Linked DNA regions of Saccharomyces cerevisiae S288C. The protein of the gene in region 3 purifies or fractionates together with the protein of the main gene of each other region. This does not show direct contact. Each region holds a gene or a part of one and is shown on either strand. Other genes may lie near its edges.

Evidence for each region.
Region 1: the proteins of RRP17 (region 3) and RLP7 purify together in Saccharomyces cerevisiae (affinity purification with mass spectrometry; 4 studies listed by BioGRID). This does not show direct contact.
Region 2: the proteins of RRP17 (region 3) and NOG1 purify together in Saccharomyces cerevisiae (affinity purification with mass spectrometry; 4 studies listed by BioGRID). This does not show direct contact.

Annotation. Positions count from the first base shown.
Region 1 is NC_001146.8:625,674-628,757, reverse strand, and holds RLP7 (Rlp7p), read left to right. Parts: upstream 1-1,615; coding exon 1,616-2,584; downstream 2,585-3,084. Other genes in the region: ribosome dissociation factor DOM34, read right to left, coding at 142-1,302; PET8 (Pet8p), read left to right, coding at 2,929-3,084. UniProt on the Saccharomyces cerevisiae protein: Involved in the biogenesis of the 60S ribosomal subunit. May act as a specificity factor that binds precursor rRNAs and tethers the enzymes that carry out the early 5' to 3' exonucleolytic reactions that generate the mature rRNAs.
Region 2 is NC_001148.4:369,044-373,421, forward strand, and holds NOG1 (putative GTPase NOG1), read left to right. Parts: upstream 1-1,934; coding exon 1,935-3,878; downstream 3,879-4,378. Other genes in the region: EEB1 (medium-chain fatty acid ethyl ester synthase/esterase), read right to left, coding at 1-398; Sec63 complex subunit SEC62, read right to left, coding at 796-1,620. UniProt on the Saccharomyces cerevisiae protein: Involved in the biogenesis of the 60S ribosomal subunit.
Region 3 is NC_001136.10:1,291,581-1,296,836, forward strand, and holds RRP17 (rRNA-processing protein RRP17), read left to right. Parts: upstream 1-3,112; coding exon 3,113-3,820; downstream 3,821-5,256. Other genes in the region: SUMO ligase SIZ1, read left to right, coding at 1-540; STE14 (protein-S-isoprenylcysteine carboxyl O-methyltransferase), read right to left, coding at 792-1,511; DFM1 (Dfm1p), read right to left, coding at 1,789-2,814; ERD1 (Erd1p), read right to left, coding at 4,018-5,106. UniProt on the Saccharomyces cerevisiae protein: Essential protein involved in ribosomal RNA processing.

The sequences.
Region 1 (3,084 bases), on a different chromosome or scaffold from region 3:
TAACTAGAACCATTTCACAACAACTCAATTAATTGCGGCTTCACATCTACTTGCTTATAGGGAAGAAGTAAAGAGAATAATCCGATTTATTATAGGGTTGCAAATTTTATGTGTACATTACTTTTTTCTTACATAGTAAATCTACTCCTCACCATCGTCTTCATCAAGATCGGGGAGCGGGTATTTTAGAATACAGGCTATACCCGTCAATTGATCAAGTTCTTCTCCAAGAGAATGCAAAGTACTTAATACCAATGCTTTTCCTCCATTGCTCTCTACGGAGTCCATCAGTTTCAAATATTCCTCTCTTTGTGCAATATTGTCTGAATGCAAAACTTTATCTGTTAACAGTAAATAACTAATTGCGCCATACTCAGCCGCTTTAACTACCTCTTTTTCACCATACCAAGCTTTATCATCATCCTTGTTTAAATGCAACAAAAATTCATCCATCACCATGATTTCTTTGGAGTATTTAGTATCTTGCAGCTTTGAAGCATATAGTGGATTTTTCAAAACTTCATTAATGCCCTGTAAGTAGCCCGTGGAGCAGTGGGCTATAAAGAACATTCCTTTGTTATCGAGTATTTTCTTATTGTGTTCCTCTTCGGCATACTGGAAAATTTTGTCCATTAATATCTTAGCGTAGAAACCTGGAGAGCAAAGAATAATAGTCTTTAATTTATCAAAATTCAAATCTTTCTTCATTGCACTGTAAATTGCTTTATAAAATTTCTCAGTTTTTTCATCAAACTTCAGTACATCAGTAGTCCTTTTCTTTTTTGGCATACTATATTCAATTTTTTGTTTTAAAATAGTAGAGGAGGATGTCACTAAACAAACATGGGCGATCCCTTCCTGTAAAACGACCGCCGCGGTGTCTGATTTATACTCGATATTACAGGCTTCATTTAAGAGCTTTTGCATGAATTTATTAAAGTTTTGTTTTATGATAGTAAAGGGATACACGTAGTCAAGGGTAAAGCTCAAATATTTGCCGACAGGTATGTCAACATTACTAGCTCCACTTTCATCTGTAACAGTAACACCTTTATATTTCAAATATTCATCCTTCATATCAAAATCCTCGGATATTACTTTAATCTTCAACTTGACCAAATCTGTACTTTTTTTCTTACCAGCTTCATCAAGTTTAGAGGTGAATTTTTTCTTGAATATCAACTCGTCATCTTTGTCTACTATTTGATAAACAGTAAACAGATCTTCCTTGTCCTCCGGTAAAAGAGTAATCACTGCTCCTCCTTTGTTAAAAGAATCCTTTTTCAGACTAATAACCTTCATATTTTTGCTATGATAGGAATGCGATAATTGAACAAAATGACAACGATGCAGCAACGAATGCTTAATTTTTTGGGATCTTCATTAAATTACATTTTACATTAATATACAAAACTAGGTGAATATTGAATAATGTATGTACACTTTCATCACGCAGTACGGATTTTTGGTAAAAAGAAAATTTTTTTCAGCTCTGCTTAAAAAAAGCTGGGAAGCGATGAGATGAGAAAAGTCTAAGTTGTTTGGTACTTTCGTTATTAAGTTCCTAGAAAGAAGAGGCTGCCACAGGGAAAAAGAATAAGATATACAAGTCACAATGTCTTCAACTCAAGACAGTAAAGCGCAAACTCTTAATTCTAATCCAGAAATTCTTTTGAGGAAAAGAAGAAATGCTGATAGAACTAGAATCGAAAGACAAGAATTAGCTAAGAAAAAGAGGGAAGAACAAATCAAAAAAAAGAGAAGTAATAAGAACAAATTTGTCAGAGCTGAAAGTATAGTTGCAAAGACTTTGGCTACCTCTAGGGAAAAGGAAAGAATTAAAAGAGTGTCTATATTAGAAGATAAGAAGGCAAAGAATGAAACGCAGCATATTGCATCTGGGAAAGATTTTATTCTGAAAATAACAGAAAAAGCTAATGGCGCCGAAGAGAACTCTGTCGACTTGGAGGAGACTGAAGAAGAAGAAGACGATGGTTTAATCAGAGAAAAGACTACTTACGATGGCAAACCTGCTTTACTTTTCATTGTCAGAGTAAGAGGTCCGCTTGCTGTAAATATTCCAAACAAAGCATTTAAGATTTTGTCTTTGCTAAGATTAGTTGAAACTAATACTGGTGTTTTCGTCAAATTGACCAAAAACGTATATCCGTTGCTCAAGGTTATTGCGCCATACGTAGTGATTGGCAAGCCTTCTTTATCTTCTATCCGTTCCTTGATTCAAAAGAGAGGTAGAATAATCTATAAGGGTGAGAATGAGGCTGAACCTCACGAAATAGTTCTTAATGACAACAATATTGTCGAGGAGCAATTAGGAGATCATGGAATAATTTGTGTTGAAGATATTATTCATGAGATTGCCACTATGGGTGAGTCTTTTTCTGTTTGTAACTTCTTCTTACAACCATTCAAGTTGAATAGAGAAGTATCTGGATTTGGTTCTTTGAATAGGCTAAGGAAAATAAAACAGCGGGAGGCTGAATCAAGAACTCGTCAATTTTCAAATGCAGCTACAGCACCAGTTATCGAAGTTGACATTGACTCTTTATTAGCCAAGTTGAATTAATTAAGAGAGTATTTTAAAATTGTATAGTACATAGGTTGTTAGTTATCTAATGCCATTGAAGGAGCAGATATTGAGCTTTTGCATATAATTAGTGGTGCCTCATGGATTGAAGAATATACGTATTTTGGCAAGTTTATTGGTTTTTAGTTTATGTATCGGCAAAAGCACGGGCGCCTCTTTTTTTCCTCGCTTACTGAGCGCTGTTTTGTATATAAATACATTTGCAGTGGGGTGCACCCTCGAGAATATATGAGATCATTAAAGCTCCACTTGTTGTAAATTGTTTGGCGATTTTATATGTTTAGACACACCGATGAACTAAAATTCGCTTTGAAAAGTTTGCTATGAATACTTTTTTTCTTTCCTTGCTAAGTGGCGCCGCTGCTGGTACCTCTACGGATTTGGTTTTTTTCCCTATAGACACAATTAAAACCAGGCTTCAAGCTAAGGGTGGATTCTTTGCTAATGGAGGATACAAAGGCATATATCGTGGTTTGGGA
Region 2 (4,378 bases), on a different chromosome or scaffold from region 3:
TCGTTCGAAAATTGTTTCTCGTTAAAACTAGCCTTTTCAGCATTTAATGAATATGTTTGCTCCCATTCAGGCATAACCCAATCTGCAGTGCAGACCCCTCCATCAGAAAATTTTATAATCTCTCTTCCATAAAATACCTGAAATTTTTTGGAAAAATCACCGGCTGACAAATAAAGGGTCTGTAAGTAACCTGTGAAAAGCAAGCTGTTTAACCTAAAATTTGCACCATCTTTGAGTGTAGGCACGTGTTTGGTTACGAATTCATGAAGAGGAATTTGGCGCTTAGAATCTCTGAAAGCCAAAGACTTGGTTCCTTTCTCTCCCAGTACATGTTTGACGGTGCCGTTATAGCCCCAATGGCTAGGAGTGACAGTTGGATAGTAACCCGAGCGAAACATTAAAATGACAAATATGAAAATACTTGATATCTTGATCTTTTTGCTAATCTTCAAAAATACCGAAAACTAAGTAGGCAACCAGATGCAGAACCCTTCTTATATAATCGATTCCTGTAAGCAAGTGTCAGCAAATAGCTTCTATATAGAGACCTTTCGGTGAAAGTATATTAAAGCCGGCCGGAAATTGAGTAATAATAACCGCTAATTATGCGGTGTGTGGATTCAGATTTTTGCCAGGAGCGATAACCTTCAAATCTAAAACTACTCACTATAAGCGATGAAGCAACCAGATGGTAGCGCTTTGGTGCCGGTTCTCTTGAAGGTTTGTACATGTGCGAGTTCATGAGGTTACAATATAGAAGGTTTATACAGTAGAGCTATACAGGATAATGGAAGTTCAGTTTTGTTCGGCTTTTTCATTGATGGCTTTCTTCTTATTGCTTTCTCTCTTGGCTTGTTTCTTCTTCATTCTTTTCAGTTTCTTTTTGTAACTATAAGTATCCTTCTCACCAAAACCGTAAAGTGGCTTAAAACTCTCTAGTACACCGCAATCTTCGAACAGGTTGGGAAAGATCCAGAACCCACCAACATCTTTGTAGACAATTAATGACAAAACATATAATATCAATCTCAGGATAGCGACAGCAAAGAAGCCTGCTAAGATGCCGAAGGCACCCAGAGACACATAATAGGAGCCGCGTCTCATGGAGCGCGGCCACAATGGGTAGCATACGAGCGCCAATATGATGGACACGACACCAATGACGATCAAGTAATCCATGTAGGTTCTAGGGTTATAGTTCCAAACAAAGTATTCATCGGCTTCCAATTGTGCTTTATTCGAAACAATCAAGTGCGGAAAGTCCTTGCTTGGCTTCAATCCATGCTCTTTGCATTCTTGACTATGCAATTTTTTCACTGGGATCACCATTTGTGCCTTTATAAGTTGAATAAAGATTTCACGTGACTTAAGCTGGTCTTCGATCTTGTTAGAAGGTATAGTTGGATATATCTCTGGCTGTCTTGCAGATTTGTTGGCATACTCCTCAGAATGCAGTGCCCTAACAAATCTCTTGTAACGGAAGAAGTCTGTCTGCTTGGCCTGGAATAAACCCTGCCTTTGCTTCAACTCCTTATGGTTGCGTAAAAGAGTAGCAATGGCTGTAGCAGATCCGCCATTGACACTAGCACCTGCATTGCTACCTGGACCTACGGCTGACATGTTCTCCTGTGTTTGCTCGGCTACCATACTGCATTCAACTGCAATTATAAAAGCCCACTCTTCTCCCTCTTGATTTGTATGCCAGTATTGGGAAAACGACACGTCTATTCCGTCGCACACGATCTTCACTTTCTTTTTTTTTTTCAACTGAACGAAAAGTTTTTTCCGCAGCTCATCGCAAAGAAAAATTTTCACCTATGTACTACCTCATCTAATACAATATAAAGAATACACTTCAGATTTAGGAGTTGCAGCGTTTATAAAAAAGTAAGTGTACCCTCCAAAAGCAAACACATCTCCCTCCTATACCGAAGATGCAACTTTCATGGAAGGATATCCCTACTGTCGCTCCAGCAAATGATTTGCTGGATATTGTCTTGAACAGAACCCAGAGAAAGACACCAACTGTGATCAGACCTGGTTTCAAGATTACAAGAATCAGAGCGTTCTATATGCGTAAAGTTAAATACACAGGTGAAGGTTTCGTGGAAAAATTTGAGGACATTTTAAAGGGTTTTCCTAACATCAATGACGTGCATCCTTTCCATAGAGATTTGATGGACACCCTATACGAAAAGAATCATTACAAGATATCTTTGGCAGCTATATCTCGTGCGAAGTCCCTTGTGGAACAAGTCGCCAGAGATTATGTCAGATTGCTAAAATTCGGTCAATCTTTATTTCAATGTAAACAATTGAAAAGGGCCGCTTTAGGTAGAATGGCAACTATAGTCAAGAAATTGAGGGACCCATTGGCCTATTTGGAACAAGTCAGACAGCACATTGGTAGATTACCATCGATCGACCCAAATACCAGAACCTTGCTGATCTGTGGTTATCCAAATGTCGGTAAGTCCTCGTTTTTGAGATGCATTACCAAATCAGACGTCGATGTTCAACCATATGCTTTCACAACCAAGAGTTTATACGTTGGTCATTTTGACTACAAATACTTGAGATTTCAAGCTATTGACACCCCTGGTATCCTAGATAGACCCACTGAAGAAATGAACAACATTGAAATGCAATCGATTTATGCCATTGCCCATTTACGTTCTTGTGTTTTGTACTTCATGGATCTTTCCGAACAATGTGGTTTCACCATCGAAGCTCAAGTTAAACTATTCCACTCCATCAAGCCTCTATTCGCCAACAAGTCTGTCATGGTTGTTATCAACAAAACCGACATTATCAGACCGGAGGATTTAGACGAAGAGCGTGCACAATTACTGGAATCTGTTAAGGAGGTTCCAGGTGTTGAAATCATGACTTCTTCATGCCAACTGGAAGAAAACGTTATGGAAGTTAGAAACAAAGCATGTGAAAAACTATTGGCTTCTAGAATTGAGAATAAGTTGAAATCTCAGTCTAGAATCAACAATGTTCTGAACAAGATTCATGTTGCTCAACCTCAAGCAAGAGATGATGTCAAGAGAACACCATTTATCCCAGAATCTGTCAAGAATTTGAAGAAATACGACCCTGAAGATCCAAACAGGAGAAAGTTGGCCAGAGACATCGAAGCTGAAAATGGTGGTGCTGGTGTCTTCAATGTTAACTTGAAGGACAAGTACCTATTAGAAGATGATGAGTGGAAGAATGACATCATGCCAGAAATCTTGGATGGTAAGAATGTTTATGATTTCTTGGACCCTGAAATCGCTGCTAAACTGCAGGCTCTTGAAGAAGAAGAAGAAAAATTGGAGAACGAAGGGTTCTACAATTCTGACGATGAGGAAGAAATCTACGACGGTTTCGAAGCATCCGAAGTAGATGATATCAAGGAGAAAGCTGCATGGATTAGAAATAGACAAAAGACGATGATTGCTGAAGCAAGAAATAGGAAGTCCTTGAAGAACAAAGCTATCATGCCACGTTCTAAACTAACTAAGTCCTTTGGTAAAATGGAAGAACACATGTCCACTTTGGGCCATGACATGTCAGCCTTACAAGATAAACAGAACCGTGCTGCTCGTAAGAACCGTTATGTTGAAAGAGGTTCTGATGTTGTTTTTGGCGACCAAGATGCTTTGACAGCTTCCACTGAAAACGGTGTCAAGTTGAGACAAACCGATAGACTGTTGGATGGTGTTGCTGATGGCTCCATGAGATCCAAGGCCGACAGGATGGCCAAGATGGAAAGAAGAGAAAGAAATAGACATGCCAAGCAAGGTGAATCTGATAGACACAATGCTGTTTCCTTATCAAAGCATTTATTCAGTGGTAAGCGTGGTGTCGGTAAGACAGATTTCCGTTGATTTCTCTACTTCTTATTCTTTCTTTTGCATGTACTTTAAAAAAAATATGAATATAAAATGTGGATGTACGTACACGACATTCTAATCTTTTTGGGCTGGTAGGATTACCATTTACATTTGATTATCTCTCTCACTATTAGTGGTTTCTTTTTCTTTCTTTCTCACTTTTTCTGTATCTTTTTTTTAAAAAAATTTTATTTAATCTGTATAATAATAATAAACCGATTTAAATTATCCAACAAGCCGACCCCTCCATGTTCTACTATTTTTTTGTATGTCACTGGATGTATACAAATAATTAAGCATGTGGAAAAAGAAGGGGTGGGATAGCGTCAAGATGACACTTCTACTTTTTTGTGACACATCATCATGCAACCTATCGAGTCTCCCACGAGGTTGACAAATAAGAAATTGTTATCGTTTTTGCAGTGTATCGTATAAGGCAACAATAGCGATGTCTCCCATCAATTGACTGATAAATTCCTGCAAACTATCATTTT
Region 3 (5,256 bases):
TATACTGCATCGATATCAGATTCATTTGTCCAGCCTCAAGAATCTTCAGTTTTTCCACCACGTGAACAGAATATGGATATGTCCTTTCCTTCCACCGTGAACTCAAGATTTAATGATCCACGTTTGAATACCACAAGATTCCCTGATTCAACATTGCGTGGGGCAACTATTTTGTCGAATAATGGGCTTGATCAAAGGAATAACTCTCTACCAACAACAGAAGCAATCACGAGGAATGACGTCGGGCGACAAAATTCTACGCCTGTACTTCCCACGTTGCCCCAGAACGTCCCAATTCGTACAAACTCTAACAAGTCTGGGCTTCCTTTGATAAACAATGAAAACAGTGTCCCCAATCCTCCCAACACTGCAACCATACCGTTGCAGAAGTCCAGACTCATTGTAAATCCATTCATTCCAAGGAGGCCTTACTCTAATGTACTGCCCCAAAAAAGACAACTTTCTAATACATCCTCAACTTCACCCATAATGGGTACATGGAAAACGCAAGATTATGGAAAGAAATACAACAGTGGTTAAAAACGAGGCTAAAATTGGACGGTTCCGTCCAGCTCTTTCATGAAATATTTTCTTTGTAATTGTGCATATGACCTTCATTTTCTATAATTTTCCGTTCGAAAAAGAAATATTTTCTTCTTTTCAATACTCAAAGGCAATATCACTGTTTGCATTCCCCTAGCATTTATTACCTACCAAATACAGATGCACAAGATTAGATAAAATCTTACATAACACAAAAATCCAGTCCATAACTAACACAATCATTACTATTATATAAAAGGTATTCCGACACCAACCTTATTCTTGTATTCTATGTATTCCGCGCTAAAGAACTCTATCAAATATTTTTCTTCCACACGAATTCTATCACTGAAAAATTTCCAAAGTACAAAAATGAAAATAACCAATGATAGGGGATTTAGAAGCAGTAGCTGAGTGCCAATTGCCCACCAAAAGAACCCAAGATAACTTGGATGTCTTGACCAGGAGTAAACGCCAGTTTTCACTAAAACATGATCGGACTCCTTCTTGGTCTTCACAATATGAGAAAAGGAATGTCCCGCAGTATGCATAGCAATAGTTCTGGTATATTGTCCCAGAATAACTAGAAGACATCCAAGTACTGTACAAAGCTTGGTAGCTAGAGAGTAGCTAAAAATTTTCAGATCAGGAAAAAGAAAGCTTTCTACGAGGCATTCCAGAATAGCAAAGGAATGTGCCGCCATGTAACTTTTGCCGTTGTTCAGAAGAAAGGACTCTGAATGTACCTTAAGAGGATTGTATTTAGCTGTAATATAATACTCCAAAAAATGGAATAAGGACAGGGCAATAATAAAGAGGTTAAAATTCTTGAATCTAATTTGTGGAAAAAGACCAACAAATATACCTAAAAGAATCCCCAGTATGTAGGAAGTCATGGTCACCTCATGCAGCGGATTGCGTCTGATGTCTGGATACTCATGCTCGTCTTCTTGAAAATCTTGGTGCATGTTGTGTTCAAAAACGGTGACCACAATGAAAGAGGAGGTAAAAAGAGTAATTATCTTGAAATCGATTTTCACTTTCTTATATAATTCATCAACACGAGAACCTTTCTATATACTGGTGGTATCATGTAAAGAATTGTTTTACCATAGTGGCCCATTTGTCAATTCGTCTTGAGTGATGTTTCATTATCAATCGGTTGCTATGCCAACGAAAATACTATGTCAGACTCTCTTGATGTATATAATGAATGGCAAAGTACATAGAAATAGATAAAAGTTGTTATTGTGAGTCGGAGGGGCTGTTTGTTTGTCCTACTCGTTGGCCGCGGCCTTGAAATTGGTTCAAATTCGATGGGCCACTTCTTAATTGACTTCCAGAAGCTCTGCCTGAATCTGTGCCACTGGTTTGAGACAATGTTGCAGGGGCCGTACCCAATCGTTGACCTCTTCCACTAAAAGTTCTCGTTTCTCTTTGCGAAGATGGCACATTGGCAAAGTTGTTGTTGAATGTTGCAGTTTCATTGTGGGCACCCGTTATGCGAGCATATAGACTAGTAAACCACCATGGCGTTGAGAATTTCCCATTGGGCGAGATTCCGTAGGTTGGATCAGCTTTTCTGGATATCATCCCCCATATTGGCCCCAGTGTATGGGTATCTAAGCATGTATAAAGGTACCCTGTAGTAAAACCGATCAATGAGATTACGAAATCACCCTCATTAAAAACGAAAGAGATAAACAATTGAATTAAGGGGAAGTACTTCCCCCAAACAGGAATCAAACCATAAAACATGATCTGCACGTTGGCATTGTCGATCGACCAAGTATATGTAATGCATGATATGAACCCAGAGGTGAGCACAACAGGGTAGTAGGACCCATAAATGATTGTAGTGGCCGTAGTGATGGCTAGTATACAAAAGCACAGGTAGTAGGCATAGTCTACTGTTACCATCGGTCCTCGTCTATTGGACAAACCGGGACCAAAATGCCCTCGCTCCAACTGTGAGGACCTGTCATAAATACTATATAGTTCCATTAGCGCAGGCATGGCACGAGACGAAAGCATTACACAAGAAGTAAGAAGTCTCCATATCTGAACCTTCTTGAACGTCAAATTCCAAACATAAATAAAGTACCACGGATTGATTAGATTCAACCGGCCGACGATCGTCATAACGATCGCTAGAGTAAATAAAGTTCTTGTTATTGGGGGGATATTTAACCAGAATTCTTTTGGGCCCATCACATCATTATTACGGCCTCCATTTCCATGTAATGTACGCACATTCCTTGGGCCTGCCATTATTTCCTCGAAAATAGTTTTTGATTTGACTTGGAAATGCGGAATTCACTGGTAATTTGTTGTATTTTGCCTTATATCCTTTGTTTGATACTCTTGTCTTATATTGAAGAGGACACGATTTCATGAGCCGCGAACGGGTAAGTAGGGACTTTTCACATTTGAAATTTTTCAAATGTGATGAGGATCGATTCTGCAAAGCAGCAGATAATAGCAGATAAAAAATAGAGAGTTGCAATATTCAAGTTCCTGGTAGCTGCTCGAATCAAGAGGGGTGAATTAAAGGTTTTCGATTTTTGCTATGGCTGTTCACACCAATAGGCAAATCCTTACAAGAGGCAAAAACTATGCTACAAAGCAATCAAAGAAATTCGGTACCGATGAGGTGACGTTCGACAAGGATTCTCGTTTGGATTATCTGACTGGCTTTCACAAGAGAAAGCTTCAAAGACAAAAGAAAGCACAAGAGTTTATTAAGGAGCAGGAAAGGCTTAGAAAAATTGAAGAAAGACAGAAGATTCGGCAGGAACGTAAGGAGGTGATGGAAGAACAGTTAAAGACGTTTAAAGAGAGTTTAAACTTGGAAGCTGAGATAGAGGATGCGAAAAATGATAAGACGGAGGATTTGCAGGTAGAATCTGATGAATCCTGGCACGGGTTTGATTCTGATAAAGATGACGGCGATAACGACAATAATGAAAGTAGCGTAAAGCCTATTTTGAAGAAAGGAGCAATCACGGAAATATACGATGACTCAACTACTGTTGAATTGGAGACATTGGAACCCAATGATAACTTTGAATATTTAGCCCAGCTAAATAATGTCAAATTAGAAAAGGCAGAAAAAGTACTCAAACAAAGCATAAATAGAGCCACCAAATACGCGAAGTTTCTGGGCGTGGATGAGAAACAAAAGAAGAAGCCAAGAGTAAAAAAGTTCAGATATTTGACCAAAAATGAACGAAGAATAAACCAAAGAAAGGCAAACGACAACAAGCGTAGGAGATAATGCAGTCGCATTATCGTCGGGCACCGCCTGGGGTTTCTTGACGCTCAAACAGTGTTTGATTTTTTTTTGGAAAAGTATATACTGTGCATATGTATTTTTCGTTTATTATATGTAATATATCGAATAAACCATTCTACGGGGAAAATAGAACAAATATTTACAGCATTTGCATGATTTTATATGGCTTGCCCAACAAATTATTTGCTTGCAAACTTAATATAATACTCTGCGTCCAATTTGAAAACGACCCATATGCCTCTTCTAATTACTTCGAAATACTGCATTTCGCCTTGGAAAAAAATGTAGTCGCTATCTGCGGCAACTAATTTCAGATTCTGCGATAAATATACCCATAGCCACCAGAACCTCAGCAAAAAGTCAACGAGAATCGCCGAATGATACATTTTTTTCTTTAATGTGACGGCACTTTTGGATCTGGATCTTAAAGAGGTTAACGAGTCCAATGACCAATCCATCCTTACATCCCAAAATAACGTATAGGAAGAATTAATTAGCATAAACCATCTTTGAACGTGGTGTAGTCTTTCTTCGTTGATGGATCCCTCATACACTCTTGATCTCCAGGTGCAAAAAAGAATGGGAAGATTACAACTGTATTTCAATGCATTGAATAGTAAAGTTGCTTCGTGCAGTAAACGGTATTCTCTCAAACACTGCAGTAGTCTTACCAGTACAGGAAGAAGGGCTACGGATAGATCAAAATGTGTGAAGGGTTCTCTAAAAATTAGAGAGGTAAACAATGTGAAGTCTATCAATGGTTTTGCAAACGATGTCAACGTGTCAGAGATTAAAATGTAGGTATTCCTTAAGGAACGGGGGGAGGATTCTATCAACAAACATCTCCTAGTACAATATTTTATTATCTGGCACTCTTTCAACAGAAACCAAAATATAGTGACACATTGGATCAATGGTAGAAAATATACGATGAGAATGATATTTTTGAGTGGACCTTCTATAATATTCATGAACTCAAAAAGGAACACAGTGGCAAAGTGGAACGGTATAATAATCCTTGTTATCTTCAAAGCAAAATTTCTAGCTGTTCTATGCAATTGCTGTAGAGTATAACCTGGACGTATATCGTGCGGTACTCTCGTGAGTATGACTTGGGATACGTCTAAATTACTATGCAAGAAGAATTTTAATATCCATGTCCAGATCCAAAGGGCAAGTATTATGAGCACAATAAATCGCTGCGGAGGGGGAACATTTAATATATTTTGGAGATAAAGTCCTTCAGAATTACTTTCGCTTTTCTCCATATTTTGCGGCCCAACTTGTTGCAGAATTGAAAACTTTGTATAATACTAATAATAATTTATAATAATAACAATAATAATTTATAACAATAATAACAATGCCAAACAATTTATATGGGTAACCAGTTTTTGGTACTGTTTGCCATCAATATT